Linked DNA regions of Rhinolophus ferrumequinum. The protein of the gene in region 1 purifies or fractionates together with the protein of each later gene. This does not show direct contact. Links are inferred from orthologs where the notes say so. Each region holds a gene or a part of one and is shown in the gene's direction. Other genes may lie near its edges.

Region 1 (9,951 bases):
TGTCACATCCCGACTCCCATGGTGTCCTCTGGCCCACACTTAAGGTGAGGGTCTCATGGAGTCCACTGCTCTGGGGCGGCCCAACCCCACATGCAAATTCCCTGCTCACAGCACATGCTGCTCAGACACTTGCAGTGGTCCTCACTGCCCCATGTCCCACCAACCCAGAAACATGGCTTCTACTTCCTCCCCAATACCTAGGTCCCACCCTAGTCCCTGGTCATCTGGGTCACCATGGCTGTCCTGCCCAGGGCCTCTTCCTCCAGGTCTTGGCTCCAAGGGAGGCCTCTTCCCCCCCACCCCGCCCCGTGTTCTCCTCCTTCACTTTGCCCACAGAACTCCAGCCCACAGGGGCAGGTCCTACATAGGACACACACAGCACACCCCAGCTAGTTGCTGACCCAGAGCCTTTGGAGGGGGAAGCAGTGTCTCCTCAGTGGCCTGGCACTGGTGGGTGGAAGATGAAGGCCCAGGACACTACAAACAGCTGTGGGCCAGGATGGTGCGTGGGTGGGCCTCTGCCCTCTACCCCACATTCCAGGCCAGAGCCTGGTGGGAGAGGTGTGGGCAAGCCACCCCAAAAAGACTTAGTGTCCATGTGATCCAACATCTGCCCCGCAAAGCAGGTGATAGCCCATCAGACAACCAGTGAAACTGAGGCTCAGAGATGAATGCCCAAGTTGCTCAGGGGTTAAGGCAGAGCTGAGGCACTGGCTCGAGCAAGAATTGGACGCGACCCACCACGTCTCTTGTGTAACTGAAGAACGCTACCAGTCTTGGCAGCGGGGGACTGGGACTACTGGAGCCACCTCCTGGAGACCACCCACTGCTGCTTCTGAAGCTTTCCTGGGTATCCCCCTGAAGGCTTCACTCCCTGGGAGAGCCCTCAGTCCTTAGGGGCCAGGACCATGCCCAAGAAGGGGCTCCTGTCCCTTCCTGAGACTGCTCAAGGCCTGGCAACACTCAAGACCCACCCACAGGAAGTGTCCCCTGTGTTGTCAACCACGACCTCAGCTCTCCAGGCAGCAGCTGCTCCTCCCTGGGAGCCCCACACCTGCCCAGCACAGAGGACAGGTTCTGACAAAAGGCTCATAGGCGGTTCAAGAGATACGTAAAAAGGGTTTAATTTGCAGGCGCGCAGGACTCTAATCAAACAAGCCAAATCCCATGTCGTCATCCGATTCCTCCGACTCCTCCTTCTTTTCGTCTTTCTTCTCCTCTGCTGAAGGGACAAAGGCTGTGGTGAGTGAGGCCCCATGCAGGCCGGACTCCCAGGGGCCCCAGGGCATGTGCAGCGAGTGCTGCCAGACCTGCACTTACCCGCGGCTGGGGCAGAACCAGCAGCAGGAGCTGCAGCTCCTGGGGCGGCGGAGACGGCCACAGCCCCGCCGGCAGGGACACTGGCCAGCTTGCCAATCCCTACGGAAACCAGAGAAGGGAGGTGAGACAGGAGCAGCTGCTCAGCCTGCCTGATGTATTGGGCCTGTCACCAAGTGCCAGTGTCACAGGCTCCCGTTCTCCCAGACAGGAGGTTCTGCCACACACCCCTCCCAGAATTCCCTCTCTGGGAACCTGGCTTCTAGGAAGCAGTCCACAAGCAGCACAACAGCCCACCCTGGAGTCAGTTTGCACAATCATGTTTATAACGAGGCAGGGACCGAGTCTGCTGTCCCAGTGTCCAGACACTCGTCCACAGCAGTGAGCTCAGGCTGTCTGCCGAGCTGGCTTTGGCCCTAGCCTGTCACATGCCCAAGGACAGGAAAGGCTGCTCCAACAGCTCAACTCCCAAACAAGTCCCATAAACTCCAGCCTGATGTCACCAGAAAACAATCTGCCCAGGAGAGGGGGGCCGGAGCCCGTGGTCATCCCTGACACACCCCAATCTCTGTGCCCAACCCCCTCAGAGAGCACATGGTGACACTTGTTTACAAAGGCCCAATTCCCCAAACACTTTGCGCAGGGCAGCCAGGCCCAGGGACAGCAAGGGCGCCCCCTAGCGACCTGCACCCAGAGTGTCTAGAAGTTCCCATGGCACGAGCCCACTGAAGCTGTGCTCACTGCTCTGGTGAGACTTCTAGGGTGCTCTGGTCCACAAGCGAAGCCTGACAGGCCACAGGCTGGCCGGCAGGGATTAGGATGGACCATGCAAAGGAAAGCGCCCTGCACAACCTCACCCTGGGCGATGACGTCTTCAATGTTCTTTCCGTTCAGCTCACTAATGACCTAAAATAGAAAACCACAACCAGCAGTTACCAGACCCGACCTGAACTTCACCGTGTGCAGCCCCGGGGACACGACGCGAGCAAATGTGTCCTGAAGCTCCTAGGCCCTCTGCTGTTCAGCACACTAGCTCTTACCCGCGTACGTCTTCCCAACTGAGAGTCGCTACAAATGGAAACTGGCACCACATTTCTAGAACTCACCACTGGAAAAAAGATGCATGATACCTAAGCTTATGCCCACTGCATGTCAAAACGTTTTGAATAAGGTAGGTGAAAGAGAATGGCTTTAAGACACTTTCCCCTTCACATTTAAAGAAAACGCATCATCAACAATTTTAAATTATGTGAAACTTACATTACGTTTCTACCGAGCCGCTTTGCCTCACACCCTCCTTGTAGCTGTATCAGAGCCCCCGAAAAGCAACCCAATAAATAACCACATGGGCTGCCACGGGCCTCCCTCAAACCACTCTCCCAACGGTAAAACTCGGGATGGGTAGAAGAGGGGGCCGGCCCCTACGTGCAGAGCATCCGTCGGCCCGGGCCCAGGGGGCCCCTACCTTGTTGAGCCGGTCGTCGTCCGCCTCGATGCCCACGCTGTCCAGGATTTTCTTGATGTCCTTGGCGCTGGGGGAGGTATTGCCCCCGAGGGCGGCCAGCAGGTAGGAGGCAACGTAACGCATCCTGAGGCCGGAAAAAAGGACCATGGGGTTACCCGGAGGCCTCCCGTTCCCACCCCGGCCCGAGCGTGGCCGCGCGGGGCCCGGCTCGGGGATCCCCACGAGGCCCGCCCCGCGCCCTGCTCCGTGCTCCGCCTGCCCCCTAGGGCCCGCGCTCGGCCCGCGGCCTAGCCCGGCTGCCCCACTCACTCGGCGACGGCGGAGAAGCCTCACGCGTGCGACCTCAGCAGCGTCCGGAAGGGAAAGGAAGGCGCCGGCGCGGGGGGCGGGGGTAATCGGCTACCCAGAAGCCTCCGGGACCCGTACGCCGTGCCCTGTGAAGGGCGCCTCCGAGTGACGTCACGAGGCGCTCGGTCAATGACGACGCCGGGGAGTCCGTTGTCCCGTCCAGTCACGCAGCCGCCACAGCAAAGGCGAAGGGAGTGCCGGGGCTACTTTCTTGTGTAGTGTAGGGCGAGTGTCACCCTAAATCCCTGGGGCGGCGGTATAAAGCGGGGCGCGAACCCGAACTAGAGTGTGTCTCCCTTCAGGGCTCCCTGCGTGCCGCGCAAGGCCTACAGCCCCAACATGCAGCTCAGCCGCCACGCCCAGGACGCATCCCTTTGCGGAAGCGGCCGACGCAGCCGGCGAACTACTAGTCCCACAGTGCACCGCTGCCGGAAGCGCGGTTGTGCTGACACACGTGGGCCCCACGGAGGATGCGCGGGTTCGGCCCCTGAGCTTCCGGCTCTCGGGAGGCTGTCGGCCGTGTTGGTGGTGTTCATACCCAGTGGGACCCAGTGAGGTTGGCGAGCCGCTCGTCGCACTAACCCCGCCGTACCGAGCCGCCTGGGCCCTAGTGGCTGATCCCCTGCGGTGTTCTGGCCATGTCGGCTCAAAACTAACCTGTGCACGTGGTCATCAGCACTGGCCACTCATTCACTCCGTGTTAGGGATCCTGTCGCAGGCCTGCGTCCTGAGATGGAGTAGGCCCGGCCCTGCTTTCTCGCCTCGCAACTTACATTGTAGTGCGACAAACAAAATAAATACACGAGGCTGCCCCAGGCTGACATGGACCCTGAAGGGATAAGGCGGTGACACAGCTGTAAGATGAGAAGGACCTGGCCTGGCGAAGATCTGGGAGGAGCACCAGGCAGAGGGGTCAGATGCAAAGGCCAGAGGTGGCTGATAATGGGTCCGGAGGAAGCAGCCAGTCCGTGAACAACAAAGCGAGCCCCGAGTGTAGTGCCTCAAGCATTGGTGTGTTAGGTGTGTTAACGCAAACCACACAGTCGCCCTAGGCGTCCTGAGGAGGGCAGGCCCAGAAAGGTTTTTATTGCTCAAGGCCACACAGCTGAGGTCAAGTGAGGGAAACATCCTGGTAAGGATGGCACTTCATTGAAGTCAATAGGGAAGTGGCATGATGTGATTGATGGTTTGGGTTTTTAAGTGGAAAACAATATAAAATTTACCATTGTTGGGGTGACCGGTTAGCTCAGTTGGTTAGAGCGCCGTGCTGATAATACCAAGGTAGTGGGTTCGATCCCCACAGGGGCCACTGTGAGCTGCGCCCTCCTTAAAAATAATAATAAAATTTAAAAAATAAGATTTGAGTCATAAAAAAATGCAGTACTTTAAAATTTACCTTAAGGGGGACGGGGGGCTCTAGAAGACGGTAAACAGGGTCTAATATGTGGTGATGGGAAGAGAACTGACTCTGGGTGGTGAACACACAATGTGATATATAAATAATGTACTACAGAATTGTACACCTGAAATCTATGTAACTTTACTAACATTGTCACCCCAATAAACTTAAAAAAAATAAAAAATAAAATAAATTTACCATTGTAATAACTCAGGGATATTAGGGGCATTCACACTGTTGTGCCACCATCCCCACCATCCATGTCCAGGACTTTTTCATCATCCCAAACTGAACTCCATACCTAGTGAACAATAACTCCGGTTCCCAGCCCCTGGGGCCCATCATTTTCTGTTTCTGAATTTAACTCCTCAAAGGACCTCATATAAGCAGAATCATACAGGATTTGTCCTTCTGTGTCTGGCTTATTTGACTGAACACGATGTCCAAGTTTCATCCATGTTGTAGCAAGTGTCAGAATTTCATTCCTTTTTAAGGCTGAATAACATTCCTGTGATTGGGTTTTTAAAAGATACTTCTGAGTAGCTGAGAAAATATGCTATCGATGTCAGCAGAAAATAATTTTTTGTATGAAAATGCAATTTAGATTTCTACCGGGGGTGCCAAAAAAAGTAGATACATTTTAAGAGATGTTATTTATGTACTACTTTTCGAAGTTGAATTGAATTACCGTAGTAATGTGTAGTATGACGTTCGCTCAAAAGATGGCATTCAAAGGAATGCTAGCATCACCATGCGACAAGCAGGACAGTCAAAGAAAATGGCAGAACGGTTGTGGTTCGAGGAGCGCAAGACCATGAAGACGTGAGGTGCGGTTGAGTTCCCCCCTTGATGAGAATTTGCCAGAACAATGGATAGGACAAAAAAGTGCGGTTGAGTTTCCCCATGTTCTCCTGACTTAACACCCCTTAGCTCCTGCCTGTGGGGGACTTTGAAGGATGTGGTGTACCGTAGAAAACCCACTACACTGGCGGTACGCCGGGGAGAAATTGAAGCGGCACGCACAATGATACGAGTGGACACTTTGGGACACTTTGGTCAACGTTGCTCAAGCAGCAGTTCACCATAATCAGAAGTGTCTGGACGCTGATGGGAACCACTTTGAGCACCTCTTGTCATTGCAGAAGTCAAACGTGACTTGTATTCATCTTTTATTATCGGTATATATTGAGTATTACAATTTTAATAGTTTTTTTTTCTTTCTTAAAATGTGTATACACTTTTTTGGCACCCTCTGTATATGGTTTTGTTATCCCAGAGGCATGTGTTTATTAGTTTCATTTGACGTTTGATAATTCATATTGGAAGGGACAATTAAACTGGAGACACTTTTATTTTATTAATTTATGTACAATACACATAATCATTGTCACCTGAAAAGAAAAAAAAGATTCTTCTGGCAACTATTAGGAAACAATGGGGGGAAGGCGGGAGCTGGGGAGGTGGAGGAAAGAAGGTGCACACGATGTAATTTGGGGCAGAACAGGCAGAACTGGATGTGTTCATCATTTACAGAGCACCTACTCTGTGGGGTGAATAAGCACAGGTGGGGAAGAGTCGGACAGACCAGGTTTGAGGTCCTAGGCTTTGGCTCTCACCAGCTGTGTGGCGTTGGGCAAAACAGCCTCCTTTTACCCCCTTGTGAGATGCAGACAAACATTGAAGAAAGCAGCAGGTGGGGAAGCCTACTGCTGGAGCACCGGCCCAGAGTGACTGCCCATGAAGTAGGGTCATTGGAGCTGGCGTCGGGTCTCTGCAGAGCCTGAGAGCATGTTGGGCCTGGCAGCGGAAGGACGCACTTTCAGAACTCTGGCTTCTGGCAGGGGCTGGGCGTGAAGCAGCAGCAGCTGCGATCAGCCTCCAGAACCCCGATCCGCCAGACCTCTGAAAAGGCGGGTTTCGTGGCGCGAACCTGGGTCTCCCCCGTCGAGTGGGCTGGCCACCACAGACCGAGGCGGGCTAACAGGAGGGGGCGGGCAGCTGAACAGGCTGCGGGGCAGATGGGGTTGGCGTCCGCGTCTCCAGGGTGCAGGCCAGCAGAGGGCAGGCGGAGTCGGGAGAGACCCTGAGGCCTTGGCCCGCTGACCCCAGGCGGGAGCAACGGGCGCTTTCTGACGGGGCGGGGACCGGAGGGGGTGGCGACCGAGTCCCAGCCCGCCCGGAAACGCGCCAGCGGGAACCCAGGCGCGCAGCGCGCACGGACCCGGCACCTGGGACCGCGCCGGCTGGAGCGCAGGTACGCTCCGTCCGCGGGGGCCGTGGGGACGGCGAGGTGGGGGGGACGGCGCGCTCTCGTGGTCGGGCCGGCCCCCAGGCCGCGGGAGCCCCGGATGCGCTGTGCAGCGCCCTCCCCTGCCAACCGAGGTATGAACTGGAAGCAGCGGGAGAGCCCTCCTCCAGGGGTCTGGAAGCGGGGTCCAATCCGTAGGACCCGGAAGCCGCCCGGTGACTCAGACCTCAGGTCCCCTCCCTCACATTCACTTCTTTGACATAACTGGTCACAATCACCCATTGCCTGGGCCACCTCCCCCTTGTGGTAGATGAGAGTCCGGACCTCCTATCAAAGCTGCTGAGTGTGAAGGTTGGAGGTGGGGCTGCACTCAGGACTCTTATCCCGGGAGTGGGGGCTGAGAGGGAGAGAACGGCAGGATGACCCGACAGCTCTATGGGACCTTTGTCCAAATTTCCAGAATTAGTGAAATTTGAAGCCTCCCTGTCCCCAGCAGATCCCCCAGGCTCCCCTGCACACAGGGCTCGCCCTGCCTGCTGCCCTCCCAGCCCTGGGGTCCCATCCTCCAGCCCCATTTCAGCAGTGATCCAATGGTCTGTCCAGCCTCGGCTCTGAGATCTGTGGACCAGCTAGCGGGGCCCAGAGATCTCCCCCTAACCAGAGTCCCTTCCTGGGAGGAGGGTCCAGCCTCACTCCTGCCCACTCCTCACCCTGACTGCAGCCTCCCTGGGCCCTGCCTGAGCAGGCCTGCCTGGCAAGCTGGGACATGTCTGGCCCCCGAGGACGGCTGGGGGGCGATGGCTGCAGTGGAGGAGGGGCTGGAACCCCAGTTGGCTGCTGCAGAAGATGCTGCAAAAGATGCTGCAGACACTGTGGATGCGTGGCCCGCGGCACCTCCTCTCCTGGCTGGGAACCGGCTGAGCCTGGACCTGTACCCTGGGGGCTGCCAGCGGCTGCTGCACCTGTGTGCCCAGCAGACCCCTCAGTTGCTGGAGGTGGAGTTCCTGCAGCTGAGTGGCCACGAGGACCCTCAGCTGCTGGAAGCCACCCTGGCCCGGGTGCCGTGGAGCCTGCCACACCTCCGCTCCCTGGTCCTCAAAGGTGAGCCCCTTGTGGTCCTAGCCCTGTCCCAGCCCTATTTCTAGCTCCTGCTTCTGCCTCTCGGTCCTCAAAGGCAAATCCCGGTTCCAGCCCGACCACTGTTTCCCACACAGCACTGCCCAGCCCTCCTCCCCCAATGTGATGCTCCCCCAATGTGTTGTTATCCAGCCCTCCTCCCCCAATGTGCAGCTGCCCAGTGCGTTCTCCCAGCAGACCCAGTGTGCATGTTTTTCCTGGGGGTCCTGGGTGATGGCTGTAGCTGGGATGAGCCTGCGGTCTCAGATGCCACCTTGATCCATCCCCTGCAGCTATGTGTCTCTGTCTGGGTGGGGTGGGACTGCGGGTTTGTACCTCCCTCCGCAGCTCTTTCTCTGGGGACAGGGCCAAGCTAGGAACTGGGACTGGGCCACATCTGCCTCCCCTTCCCAGGTGGGCAACGCCGGGATGCTTTGGGTGCCTGCCTCCGGGGCTCCCTGACCACACTGCCCGCCATACTGAGTGGCCTAGCACGCTTGGCCCACCTGGATCTGAGCTTCAACAGCCTAGAGACACTGCCGGCCTGCGTCCCGCGGATGCGTGGCCTGGGTGCCCTGCTACTCTCTCACAACCACCTCTCAGAGCTGCCTGAGGCCCTGGGGGCCCTTCCCACCCTCACCTTCCTTGCCGTGACCCACAACCGCCTGCAAGCGCTGCCCACAGCACTGGGGGCCCTGTCCACCCTGCAGCGCCTCGATCTCTCGGAGAACCTCCTGGACAGTGTGCCCCCCGAGATCGGAGGCCTGAGCAGCCTCGCTGAGCTCAGTCTGGCCTCCAACCGGCTGCAGAGCCTCCCGGATTCCCTTGGTGAGTACCAGTATCTCCCTCCTTGGCGCACAGGGCCTGCTGGGGAGTCCCTCAGCCAGTGTCCAGCCTCTGCTCTCATGTGGGCCCTCGTCCTCCACGGGGCCCACCTTTGAGCCTTTGCTCCTCCCAGTGGTCTTGTTTGCCCCCCACCCCCACTGCCCTGGCCTCGGAGGCTCCCTGTGCAGGCTAGCCGAACTCTGTGTCTGGCCATGGGGCAACAACCACAAGGGCTTCCAGGGAGGCCCTAGCACCCTGGCGCTCTGGGCCTGGGTGGCACTGACTGGCCCTCCGCTTGCCCTAAGCCAGCGCCGGCCCACAGCGGGGCTGCGCTCCTTGCGCCTCCTTGTTCTGCATAGCAACCTTCTGGCCTCTGTGCCCGCCGGCCTGGCCCGCCTCCCACTGCTCACCCGGCTGGACCTGAGGGACAACCAGCTTCGGGACGTGCCCCCAGAGCTGCTGGACGCCCCCTTTGTGCGCCTGCAGGGGAACCCTCTGGGCAAGGCCCTGCCAGACTCCCACAGTCCCCCAGGTAGGCTTGTCGCTGGGGAGGGCAGATCACCAACAGGACACAGGTACCGTCACTATCCTAACAATCTCTCTGTCCTTCCACAGGGACACCCATGGTCCCAGAAATGCCCAGACTGTTCCTGACCTCAGATTTGGACAGGTATGGGGTGGGGGAGGGGTGGGGCTGGAGGAACAGCTAGCCACCCTGTCCACGTGCTCGGGGGTCTTCTCCTTGAGTCCCCAGGGGTGCCAGGCTCAGACATACATGCCCCTGTGTGTCTGACCTGATGCCCATCCTGTCCTCACTCAGCTTCCCCGTGACCCCCCAAGGCTGCTCTGTGACCCTGGCCTGCGGTGTCCGCCTGCAGTTTCCTGCTGGTGCCACTACTACCTCTGTCACCATCCGCTATCGACAGTGGCAGCCGGAGCCGCGCCTCGTCCCCCTGGGTCCCCATGACTCCTTGCTCAGTGGTGTCTTGGAACTGCAGCCCCATGGGGTGGCCTTCCAGCAGGCACGGCCAGGGCAGGTTGGGGGCAGGTGAGGAGGGCCAGGCATGGCCCTGGCACTCACAGCACCCTTGTGTGGCAGGAGGTAGGCCTGTGGCTGCTCTTCGTGCCCCCACGGTCCCGGCGTTGCCGTGAGGTGGTGGTGAGGACTCTGAGTGACGACAGCTGGAGTGACCTGGAGACCCACCTGGAGGAAGAGGCGCCGAAGGTGAGGGA
Region 2 (10,297 bases), on another chromosome or scaffold:
TGTATGAGGGCCTCCTGAGCCCTTCAGTTGAAGGTGTTATCTTTTAGAATCAGTCTGAATGAGCCCACAAAGGATCAGCACCCTGATACAGGGCTTGGGATCTTAATATCCCAATGTTTCCTTATAGATCAATAACCTTATTTTATCTTCTGATCTTCTGTTTTGCCGCCTTTGCTGTCTGAGGATCAGCCTTTTCTTAAGATGCCAAACAATGGGAAAATACTTTCTAACCACTTCTCCCGAGACGACCAGAGTAATGATCGTAGAGTATCAGAGGTGTTTTGTGAAATGATAATTATGAGGGCAGCCAAAAAGAGAGTTCCGAGTGTGATGACAGAGCAGTTAAGAGCCAGGGTTCTGGACGGGGACTTTGGGTTCAAATGTTGACCCCACCCTTGATTACTTATACATTTTCCTCAAGCCGCTGACCTTACCCTTCCCAGGGACATAGTAACAGTAACTACCTCTCATCACATTCTACATATTTTAAGTTACTTAATGTGTGTATTTAGCACAAATACACACAAAACAGTGCACACGTGTTGGCTGTGAGCATAAAGCAGACCGAGATTCAGAAACACAAAATCACAGAAACGTAAGAACGGAGAGCATGCAGCGGTAGGCATCTGATAGCCCTCACCAGAAGCCTGTCAACTATGTCCGCTTCTCCCTTCTCCCTGCCCTCCCCGTCCCCTTCCCCATCACCCTCACAAATGATGTGGGCACAGGCAGCCAGCTAAGAGGGGTGACCCAACCTCTAGCAAGGTCGTTTGTGGAAGGCAGGTGAGTAGAAAAGGGAATGGCAATAGAATTAAGTGGGGCATTCAAATGTCGCTAAGGATACTAAGGTGATGAAGGAAAAAGGAAAGTGAAAGCTTGGGGAAACCATTTGGCCACGTGCATTCAGGACAATTAAAACTTTCACATTGTTTCTCTCAATAATGACATTTCTTAGAATTCAACTGGAGGAAATAATCAAAAAAGGGAAAATTACATGACACAAGATGTAGACCAAAAGGGGTCCTAAGGAAAGTAACCTCAGGTGACCTGATCACCAATTCCCAACTGAGAGGGTCCGGTGGGGAGTCAGGCCCCAGGCCTATCACCTGTTTAGTGAGAGGTTTGAAGCCGGCCGTGTCCGTTGTTCTTGGGCATCTAGGATCACACACCTTTGAGATGCCAGAAGTCATAACCGCGAAGGCCTGACCACCCTCAAGAGAGCACCTGACAGTAAGTATCCTGTCATCTAATCCCCGCCTTGCCTTCTCCCACCTCCATGTAATCTTCCTTACATTCCCTCCTTAATTTCAAATGCATAAAAGAAACTGCAAAACCGTCATTCTCTGGAGCATTTGAGATCTTGCTTCCTGGCACCTGTTGTCAGTTTGGGCTCAAATAAAGTCTTATACACGTTCTCTACAGGTTTGAACGTTCTTACATCGACACTTATTATGCGGACCAACTGGCTTTTGCCCAATTTCATTCTATTACTATATTAAGTATAGACTGAAATTCTTCTGATCCCACCTACATTTTCCAGTATGCAAGGAAACTGCTGGAAACAAAATAACAACGTCTCCTCCCTCTCTCCATTCCCACTTCCTCATTTATACAACCATAGCCTTCCCTCTTCTCTATCCACCTGGGACAGAGACTCATGATGACTTGTCCCACTATACACCCACACACCCCTCCTTTCCCCTGTCCTCCTCTTCCTTCTGTCTCTTTCTCTCTCTCTCTCTCACACACACACCCACACACACACACACACACACACACACTCACACACTCATGCTCACACATCGTCTGCTGCCGCAATCCCGGCTATGCGGCACGCCTGTCCCTGGGATTAGATTTGTGCCCCGTTATCTTCCGCTCCCCTCCGTTTGTCCACTGGTGACTCTGAAGGCACTCAGCACAGCCTTGTCTGTCCTTCTCTGAGTTGCAAGGACAAAGTGTGCCTCCAGCCACTCTGCACCTCCCAGCACTCGCCTCACCCAGAATTTACTGCCCGATCCGCAACTGAAAAGAGTGGGTCCTGGCTCTCCTGTGTGTGGTGAGGCCAGGCGAAATGGTAGCCTTCTAATCAAAGCATTTAGCTATGCTTAGTGAGCACCTACTATGTGTCTGTCAGGACTTGAGTTAGTTGCAGGGATTCAGAGATGATTGAAACTAATCACTCACCATGAGAAGCTCACGGGGGGGAAAAGGTGCATACACCGAAAATTACTATACGTACAGGTAAAGCGACAGAGGTAGGTGGTTATACTGTGGAGACAGCCTCCACAGCAGGCTTTGCCTCCAAGGTGGTTTCCGAAGAATCGAGAGTTCACCTGGCCAAGCAGCATACACACAAACTCGTCTTTCAGGTCTGCAGAAAACAAGGAGTTCATGGAAAACGCACCAAGGCAACAGAAGCAGCACGCACTATTCATTCCAGGCCCAAAGCAGTTTACAGTATGCAAAGCACTGTGTGACTTACAGACATTAAACAAACCAAAGTCTCCGCCCCTAGGCACAAAACAGATTCCCTGAACGTAAAGGCGAACTCTCAGCACACACCGGATTGAGAATAAGGAAAGGGGAATTGAACTCTGGCCCGAAGTACAAAGATCGCTGGGGGTGGGAAGGAGGCGCCTCTCATTAAGGCACTGCGGGGGGTGGATGGAGGGAAGAAAAAGCCAGGTGCGGCGGTAGGTCAGCCGCACCGAGAAACGGGAAGAATGAGCCGGGGCAGGAACTGAGGGATTGGGGCAGAAAAGAGGGTGGGGCCAGTGGGCTCCACCTCCTCCCCTCCTCGGACTCCCCCCACAACCCACTTTCTGCGGAGTCTGGTCCAGACAGTTGTGGGAGGAACTCCTAAGGCCGGTGAGAGGGGCGGGAGGGTCCTGGGATTGGGGCTGGGGTGGAGGGAGGGCTGGCCCCTCTGCAGAGTCTGTGAGTCCTTGCTATTCAGAGTTCAGGGAACTCCTGACAGGCTGGTATTGGAATACAGCTGCCTTGGTGCTGCTGCTGTGTTGCAAAGGAAAGAAAAGGCTTCTCCCTACCAACCTCCCAGCCCCTACGCAACTCCAGGGAACCGCGGTAACTCCAGGCAGGAAACTAGAAATCTGTCTTTACTGCGTTAGGGCCAGAAGAGGATGGGAGACCCTGGCAGAGGTGGGGGGTGTAAAGAGATCAGGAGTTATCTGGGCCACTGTCACCGCCCTAGGCCTTTGTCTGTAAGGTTCTCTCTCACTTAGTTGTGTCCCTGTGGCTGTGGTGGGCCTCTGCGCATTTTCTCCCTCCAACTGGAGCATGGGTTGACAGGAGGAAATAGGAAGGTGGGGTCAGACAGGGTGAGTGGTGCTTCCTCCCTCCCTACTCACCCCAACAGGGTCATACTGAGGGTCTCTGACTGGGAAGCTAGGGGGTGGAGTCCAGCAAGAGCAGTAACAGAGAAAGGGCAGGGCCTGCCCCATCACCTGGATTCCAGGGGTGCCAGTGAACCCCAAAGCCCCAGAGCCCACCCAGGACTGGATCCTGGATGGTGTGTGTTGAAAGGCAGAGCTGGAAGGGAGACCACAGGGAAGAAGGAGAAAGGAAGGCAGGACTGTGACCCAGTCAACTGGCATGAGGGCTGGGAGTCAGAACTCCTGGGCTGGTTTCCTGGCTAGTCCACATATACGAATACTCGGGGACAACAGTGGGATCCTAAAAAGAATTACTGGCCTGGAGAGGACCCTGCTGCTCATTTATCTGATTTGAAACCCAATCATCTGACTTAAAATCCAGAAAGGTGTCTAATATGGTTACTTTGGAATCTGACCCAGCCATGCTGCCAATTGCTAGTTTAGACACAACAGCTGTGTATCTTTTTGCAGGAGCCTGGGGAAGGGCCATGGTGCTCAGCCAGTGGTGGGGAAGACTGGAGAAGCTGTTTCTCTACCTGTGCTGCACCTCCTTCCTCCTGGGGCTGGCTCTGCTGGGCATACAGCCAGACATTGCCCCTGTCGCTTATTTCTTTCTGACCTTGGGTGGCTTCTTCACGTGTGCCTGCCTCCTGGCCTGTTTTCTGAAAAAGGTGTTCCAATCAGTGCAGACGGAGAACCCAGGGGCCTCCGGCAATGCACGGTGAGTTAAGATGTGGGCAGGCTTGCAGGACTTCACGGGGGATCCATGCTCCCCGTGTCCTTCTAGTCTCTTAGGCTCTGCTTTCCTCTGTCACCGGTATCAGCGAGAGGAGGGGTCACGGGCTTGTGGAGGGGTCCTTTGTGGTAGATAGAAAGCGGAAAAAGGACTCCTTTCAGGAAGCCACCAATGACCTTATTTCTCCTCCCTCAGGGACAACGAAGCCTTTGAGGTGCCCACCTATGAAGAGGCCGTGGTGTTAGAATCCCAGTGCCCCCCGCAAGAGTTGGATCAACCACCCCCCTACAGCAGTGTTGAAATCCCCCCAGGACTTGTAGACAGGCAGCCTAGCCATCCAGAGGGACCCAGGACAGACAGACTGGAGAGGCGAGTGGGCTCAGAGGGCTCCATGACCCGGGGAAGCCCTGGAGGAGCTCTCGTCAGCCTGCGGCTTCGGGGACCGCGAGTAGTGTCCACTGCTCCGGATCTGCAGAGCTTGGGGACACTCCCCAAATTGGAGTCGATCCCCAAACTGGAGCCTCTTACTCCACCCCCCGCCTATGATGTCAGCTTTGGTCACCCTGATGATGACAATGTTTTCCATGATGACAACTGGACACCCCCCTAACAGAGTGTCCCAGGATATATCATCTCTCTGCACCAGACCCACTCCTTCATTTGACCAACATTTCCCAATGCCTGCCTGCTCGGTGTCAGGAACCGGACATAACAAATGGGCAATTCAATCCAGAGAGGAGTCAGGCTTATGGTAAGTCCGTCGTAGTTGACAACATTCAGGCAACATTCCGAAACCTACCCCACATCCGATATTTCCGGAGTTAAACTGAGGGTGAGATGAGGTCGTCATGCACCGAATCTGGGGAATGAAGAAGAGAAACAACATTTAAGTGACAGCTCTGTTGCTTCTGTTCCAGGTGCTTTGCCTCTCTATTAGGTCACTTAGGCCTCTCAGCCATGTGAGGTATTATTACCTGCAACTGAAAAATGAGGAGTCCCAGGGTCAGAAAAGTGATTCCTTGCACAGGGGCACAGTACTCGTAAATAGCATAAAAACGATTTGAGCTCTGGCTTTTCTGATCCCAAAGCCCACTGTGTTCTCAGTACAAGGTAGAGGAAGCCAGGCCATCCGCACGTGTCGGTCTCCGTTCTGGACAACTGCTAGTGAGAGGCGGAGACGGAATGGGGGACCCGCTGCGTCTGCAGACAGGGCAGGCTGAGCGTGAAGCGCAAGCTCAGCCTCCTAGAGGAGCAAAGCTAATCAACGCTGTGACGGACCCTGCCCCTGTGGGAACAGTTCCTGCCCATCCAATGGGGGAAGCAGTGGAGCAAAGCTGCCCCAAGGTTAGACCTCCCAGTGTGAGAACGGGCGGAGAGGAGGGTCAGCAGGGATACAACGTGAGCTTCCAGGCAGGCTGGCGGAGTACCTAAGGCGATACTCGTGACTCTCCAATGTGAAGCGCTGGCGCCACTCGCACAGCCTGTCATCGCTTCAGCCTCACCCCTGCACTCTGACCGCTACCAGCTTTCCCCAGCGCGGCCCGCCCCCGTCCCTCCCCCGTCCCTCAACTCCCAACAGAACACCGGATTGGAATCAGGTGCTGCGGTGGTGGTGTAGGTTTCAGCCACCGGGAGCTGCTCAACCACCGCGGACCCACCCCACCCCTCCGGGCTGCGCGCCCCACGCAGGCTCTCAGTCACCGCGCGCGTGTCCGCCGAGCGCCTTCTCGCGCTCTCCGCCTCCTCCTAACCCTTGCCCCAACCGTTCAATAAAATGAAAAGCCCGGCCACACCCGTTTCCGTAACGCCCTTGCAATAGGCCGGGAAGGCGGCGTGGGAGGGGCCGGGAAGCGGGCCGTGATTTCCGCGGGAACCGACCACCAATCGCATTCCCCGCCTAGGACTGGGCGGATCCCCCCGCTGTGCCCGCCTTTTCCTTTTCCGCCGACCGCGCTCTCACCCCATTGGCCCGCGCGTCCGCCGGAAAGCTCTGCGCGCGCGCGCGCCCGCGGGCGACAGTAGGGGCGGGGCAGCCTGGTGTAGGGGTGGTGCTAAGGGCGGTAGGGCGCAGGCGCGTTGTGCTTCGGCGGACGGGGCTGGGATGCCGAGGACGCGGCGGCTGTCGGTGTGTTTGGGTTGTGGGCGGTCCGCTCACAGCCCGGGAAAAGCGAGAAATGGCGACGCCGATCGCAAGCTCCCGGCCCGCCTTCCAGCAAAAGGATCTGATGACCGCTGACAGGGGACGCAGGTGAGTGGCGGAAGGTCCCAGGGGTCCATAGTGGGGCCCAGGGAGGGAGATCGGGGTTCCAAGCGTGTGGCCCTGGCGCCCCCTCCCCTTGAAGAGCCTGGAAGCTCGCGTTTCCTGCCGAGGCCCGGAGGCCGGGATGCGCCCCCAAGGGGCGCCCGGTCGGGCGGGCCTCTTCTCGGCCTTGTCCCTCCTGAGCAAAGGCTGCCCAGCTTCGATTCGTCCAACCCAGGGGGGCTCTTTCCAGTCCTGCCAAATCTCGGCTTCTCTTAAAATTCTCCATCTTTAAGTCTTTAAGAGAATCTTTCCCTTTCTTCCTTTAGGAGGAATTATACTCTAGCCTTAAAAACTGATGAGACCTGCAGACCTGGGAATTCTGCCTGATGTGCATTTGATTTGGATTGAATATATCATGACCGGTAGTGCTTGGGTATAATGACCAGATTTGCAAAGCAGTCAATACAGGCTTTGGGATTTGAGTACTTTGAAAGGACAGGGAGTTTCCCCAGGCACCTAGTGTGTCTCCTTCTCTGCCCCAGTTAAATCTTGTAATGGCAGACATCACCCAGGATGATATATTTAAATGCCTCCTGGTCCAGACCCAGAAGATTAATTTAAGACCTCAGAACTGGAACCTGCATAAGGACAGAGAATCAAGACTGAAGAACTCTCTTTGTGTCCTTTTTCCCCGCCCTTTTTCCCCTTCCAGATGTGCCCTAAAGTTCTAGATGATTGTGTTTACTTTGGAAAGTGCACCTTTGAGTCTCTCCACATAATGTGGAATACAGGAAAGAGCAAGTGTGTGGAGAAGCGATGATGGTTCAGACGAAACCTAAGGAGCTTTTTATTGAATATTCAAATCTGAAACGTGACAGTTAACTGGGAGTCAATTAGTGAATTGTGAGTAGGATAAGATAGACTAGGAACAGGTTCTTTGGGGGTAGGGGGAAGGTTCTCTGGAGGGAAGTGGAATGTAGTGGGCAGAGACCTAAAGAATGGTGTCAAGAGAACCAAGGGAGGAGAAAGTTTTGGGGTTTTTTTTTAGGTTTTTATTCATCAAAAGTTAGCAGCAGACAATATTAAAATAAGTATGGCAAAGCCTTTTACAAATGGCTTTGCACTCGAACTTGGTCCCAAGAAAATGACTGTTGCAACAAACTAAACTTGATAAAGTCTTTTGAAATAACAAGGGAAATACAGTTGAACTAAAAGAAAGCACTGGTTTCTCTTAAAACTAGGTTACAGTTGTTCTTACTACTATACATCAAACAATTGAAAACGAATTACAAAAGTGGAATGTTGTAAGTTTAAAATTAGTCCTTAGATTTTTGTTCTACAAAACATCTGTTCACATCAAAAGGACCGTTCAAAGGGTAACTTTTCGTCAAAGCGAGGGACAAGAAAACAATACACTTTTTTCAAATCAAAACAAGAAGTTTGGTCGTTTAGCTTTGTGCATAATTAAGGCAACTGGGGCGATCTGTTACAGCTTATCTACTGGAAGGAGAAAGTTCTAATGAGAAAAAAATACTCTGGTAAACCAGGGGAAGAAACCGAGCAGGTAAACCTGCTCTGCCTTTGGTATGTATGCTAAGGAAATAGCATCCAGCTGCATGCGATGTTATCTCGTGGTTGGCCTAGTATCACTTCTTTTTACCGGAGTTCACATGTCATCATTATTACTGCTTTGGTCTGTTCTAAGGTGATTTTAAATGGGGTTTTTGATTTCTCTAGATTGTGATGTTGTAGCAGGTTTTCCTGAAGTTTTGGGGTAACAAGAATTAAAATGGACCAGCACTGTTCCAAACCGAAACTTAACCTAAGTTAGCTGCTTCCAATCCTGGGAATGTTTTCCTGATCACTTCCTCTGCTTTAGGATCCCACATGCTGTCTTTTTGGGTCTCTCTCAGCTCTTCCGAGACTCTGCTTTTCTCTCCTCTAACCTAGAGTTAAGCTAAGTACATCCTTAGATGCATGGTGTTTCACTGATTCTAAGATGCACATTTTAGCATCTTTGAAATCAGAATGCATCTTTTGGATAGGTTTTTAAATTATAAACTGAAGCTATTACCATATTCCTTTCTCACTACCATCAGGCCCTTACAGTTGTCATATATTTGGACACTGGCTAAGCAGGCTGGCGAGCTCTGGATTTATATAAACTAGGCACATAGATGATATACATTGGAAATGGGATTCTTTTGGTTCATAAACAGAAATTGATCTCTTTCCAAAGCAATAGCAAAACTAAGGAATCCTTGAAATTAAGACATCCCTAGTAAACTAAATTACCAAAATAATTTATCCTGTATGTGCATTACTTCTAACTGATCTCAAGGGATGGTGATTGTGTTTGTCATTGGTATTTGTCTACTGTGATTTTCTGTCATACTTTCTACTTACCCCGTTCTTACAGGATTCATTATCATTTCTACTGTCATTTTGTCCTATGGCTTTTAAAGTCTTAAAACTTTAAAAGCCATAGTTACAATTGTTATAAGTAGGCTAGACAGAGTATGTGTCTGTGTGTCTGTCTCATTTATTTTCTATTAAAGCTGGCCATTGGTTTGAGTTTTTGCCAGTGTGTCAAATGATTTTATTCCTCACCCAGGATGATGTTAAACTTATATCACTTTCAGCAGCCTAGATAAATAATGTGAAATGTTTTCTGGAGTAGCCTCCTAATTGAAATTCGTCTGTCAGAGGAATGTTTCTTCTCGTGAATACATGTGTGCTTGCTGTGTGTATGTTATCTTTGTCAAGACAGAGATTTCCCTCCTCTAGACAGACCATCTGTCTCAGGTGATGCTCTCAGTTGAACATACTCAGTAAAGAATTACATACATAATTTTCTTAGGGTCAGTGTGTTACTGCTTAATCCTTTGATTTTAACCAGATGCAATAAAATGTACGTGATCTTGGTTATTGTAAGTCCTGTTCTTTCTGTTCTTCCCGCCCACGCCTCTTCCACTCTACTCTTCTGTACCAAATCTTGCACTTCACAGTCTTTCTCTCTGCCTTTTATCTGTAGGATGTTGGGAGTTTGTGGCATGCATCCTGACCATCAGGAAGCTCTAAAAAAGAACCGAGTGGTGCTAGCCAAACAGCTGTTGCTGGGTGAACTCTTAGAACATCTGCTGGAGAAAGACATCATCACCTTGGAAATGAGGGAGCACATTCAGGTATCTCGAGGCAAAAGAGGAAAGCCAAGTAAATTGGCTGTAGAAGTAGGAGCAGAATATGATAAAGTGGGAAAAGGAGGCAGGGCCTTCCTCAGCCAATGGAAATACCCTCCTGCCCCAGAGCGGTTAGCAGAAAACAGATGTGGTTCAAGAATTACAGGAAGGGTGTCACCCGTGCATGTTTTGCCGATAAAGGGAATTCTTGAGATGGATGGTGCCATTTTTAGGAAGCTCATCTGGAGAAATACAATGATAGCTAGATAAGTAAGTATGATTTCATGTTTCGTTCTTGTATCATAGGCCAAAGTGGGCAGTTTCAGCCAGAATGTGGAGCTCCTCAACTTGCTGCCCAAGAGGGGTCCCCAGGCTTTTGATGCCTTCTGTGTGGCCCTGAGAGCGACCAAGCAGGGTCACCTGGAGGATCTGTTGCTCACAACCCTCTCGGGTCTTCAGCATGTACTCCCACCGGTATGGAGCCCAAGACGGGGGTGTGTTGAGAAGGGTTAGTTTGGTGGGAATGGCATTTTTGAGAAGGAGGGTGGGGAGACTAGATTTTTGTTGTATTTGGCCTGGACCATCTCCCTAAGTCCTGGCCTGGGGGTCCTGATTTCTTACAGTTGAGGTGTGACTACGACTTGAGTGTCCCTTTCCCGGTGTGTGAGTCCTGTCCCTCTCACAAGAAGCTCCGCCTGTCTGCAGGTGAGAATTGCTAGGCTAAAATAGGTCCCACAGATTGCTGTCC

What was found. The genes of interacting proteins can lie anywhere in the genome.
Region 2: the proteins of PIDD1 (region 1) and CASP2 purify together in Homo sapiens (affinity purification with western blotting; 5 studies listed by BioGRID and IntAct, with this or other methods). This does not show direct contact. The link is inferred for Rhinolophus ferrumequinum from reciprocal best matches to the Homo sapiens genes PIDD1 and CASP2.

What each region holds. Positions count from the first base shown.
Region 1 is NC_046294.1:481,594-491,544, reverse strand, and holds the start of PIDD1 (p53-induced death domain-containing protein 1), read left to right. Parts: upstream 1-6,059; 5' UTR 6,060-6,911; intron 6,912-7,498; 5' UTR 7,499-7,574; coding exon 7,575-7,878; intron 7,879-8,307; coding exon 8,308-8,721; intron 8,722-9,040; coding exon 9,041-9,250; intron 9,251-9,333; coding exon 9,334-9,388; intron 9,389-9,538; coding exon 9,539-9,740; intron 9,741-9,817; coding exon 9,818-9,943; intron 9,944-9,951. Other genes in the region: RPLP2 (60S acidic ribosomal protein P2), read right to left, coding at 1,146-1,222, 1,321-1,419, 2,175-2,223, 2,783-2,905. UniProt on the Homo sapiens protein: Component of the DNA damage/stress response pathway that functions downstream of p53/TP53 and can either promote cell survival or apoptosis.
Region 2 is NC_046309.1:7,697,815-7,708,111, reverse strand, and holds the start of CASP2 (caspase-2), read left to right. Parts: upstream 1-6,202; 5' UTR 6,203-6,302; coding exon 6,303-6,376; intron 6,377-9,404; coding exon 9,405-9,555; intron 9,556-9,855; coding exon 9,856-10,023; intron 10,024-10,172; coding exon 10,173-10,254; intron 10,255-10,297. Other genes in the region: TMEM139 (transmembrane protein 139), read left to right, coding at 3,788-4,113, 4,324-4,738. UniProt on the Homo sapiens protein: Is a regulator of the cascade of caspases responsible for apoptosis execution. Might function by either activating some proteins required for cell death or inactivating proteins necessary for cell survival.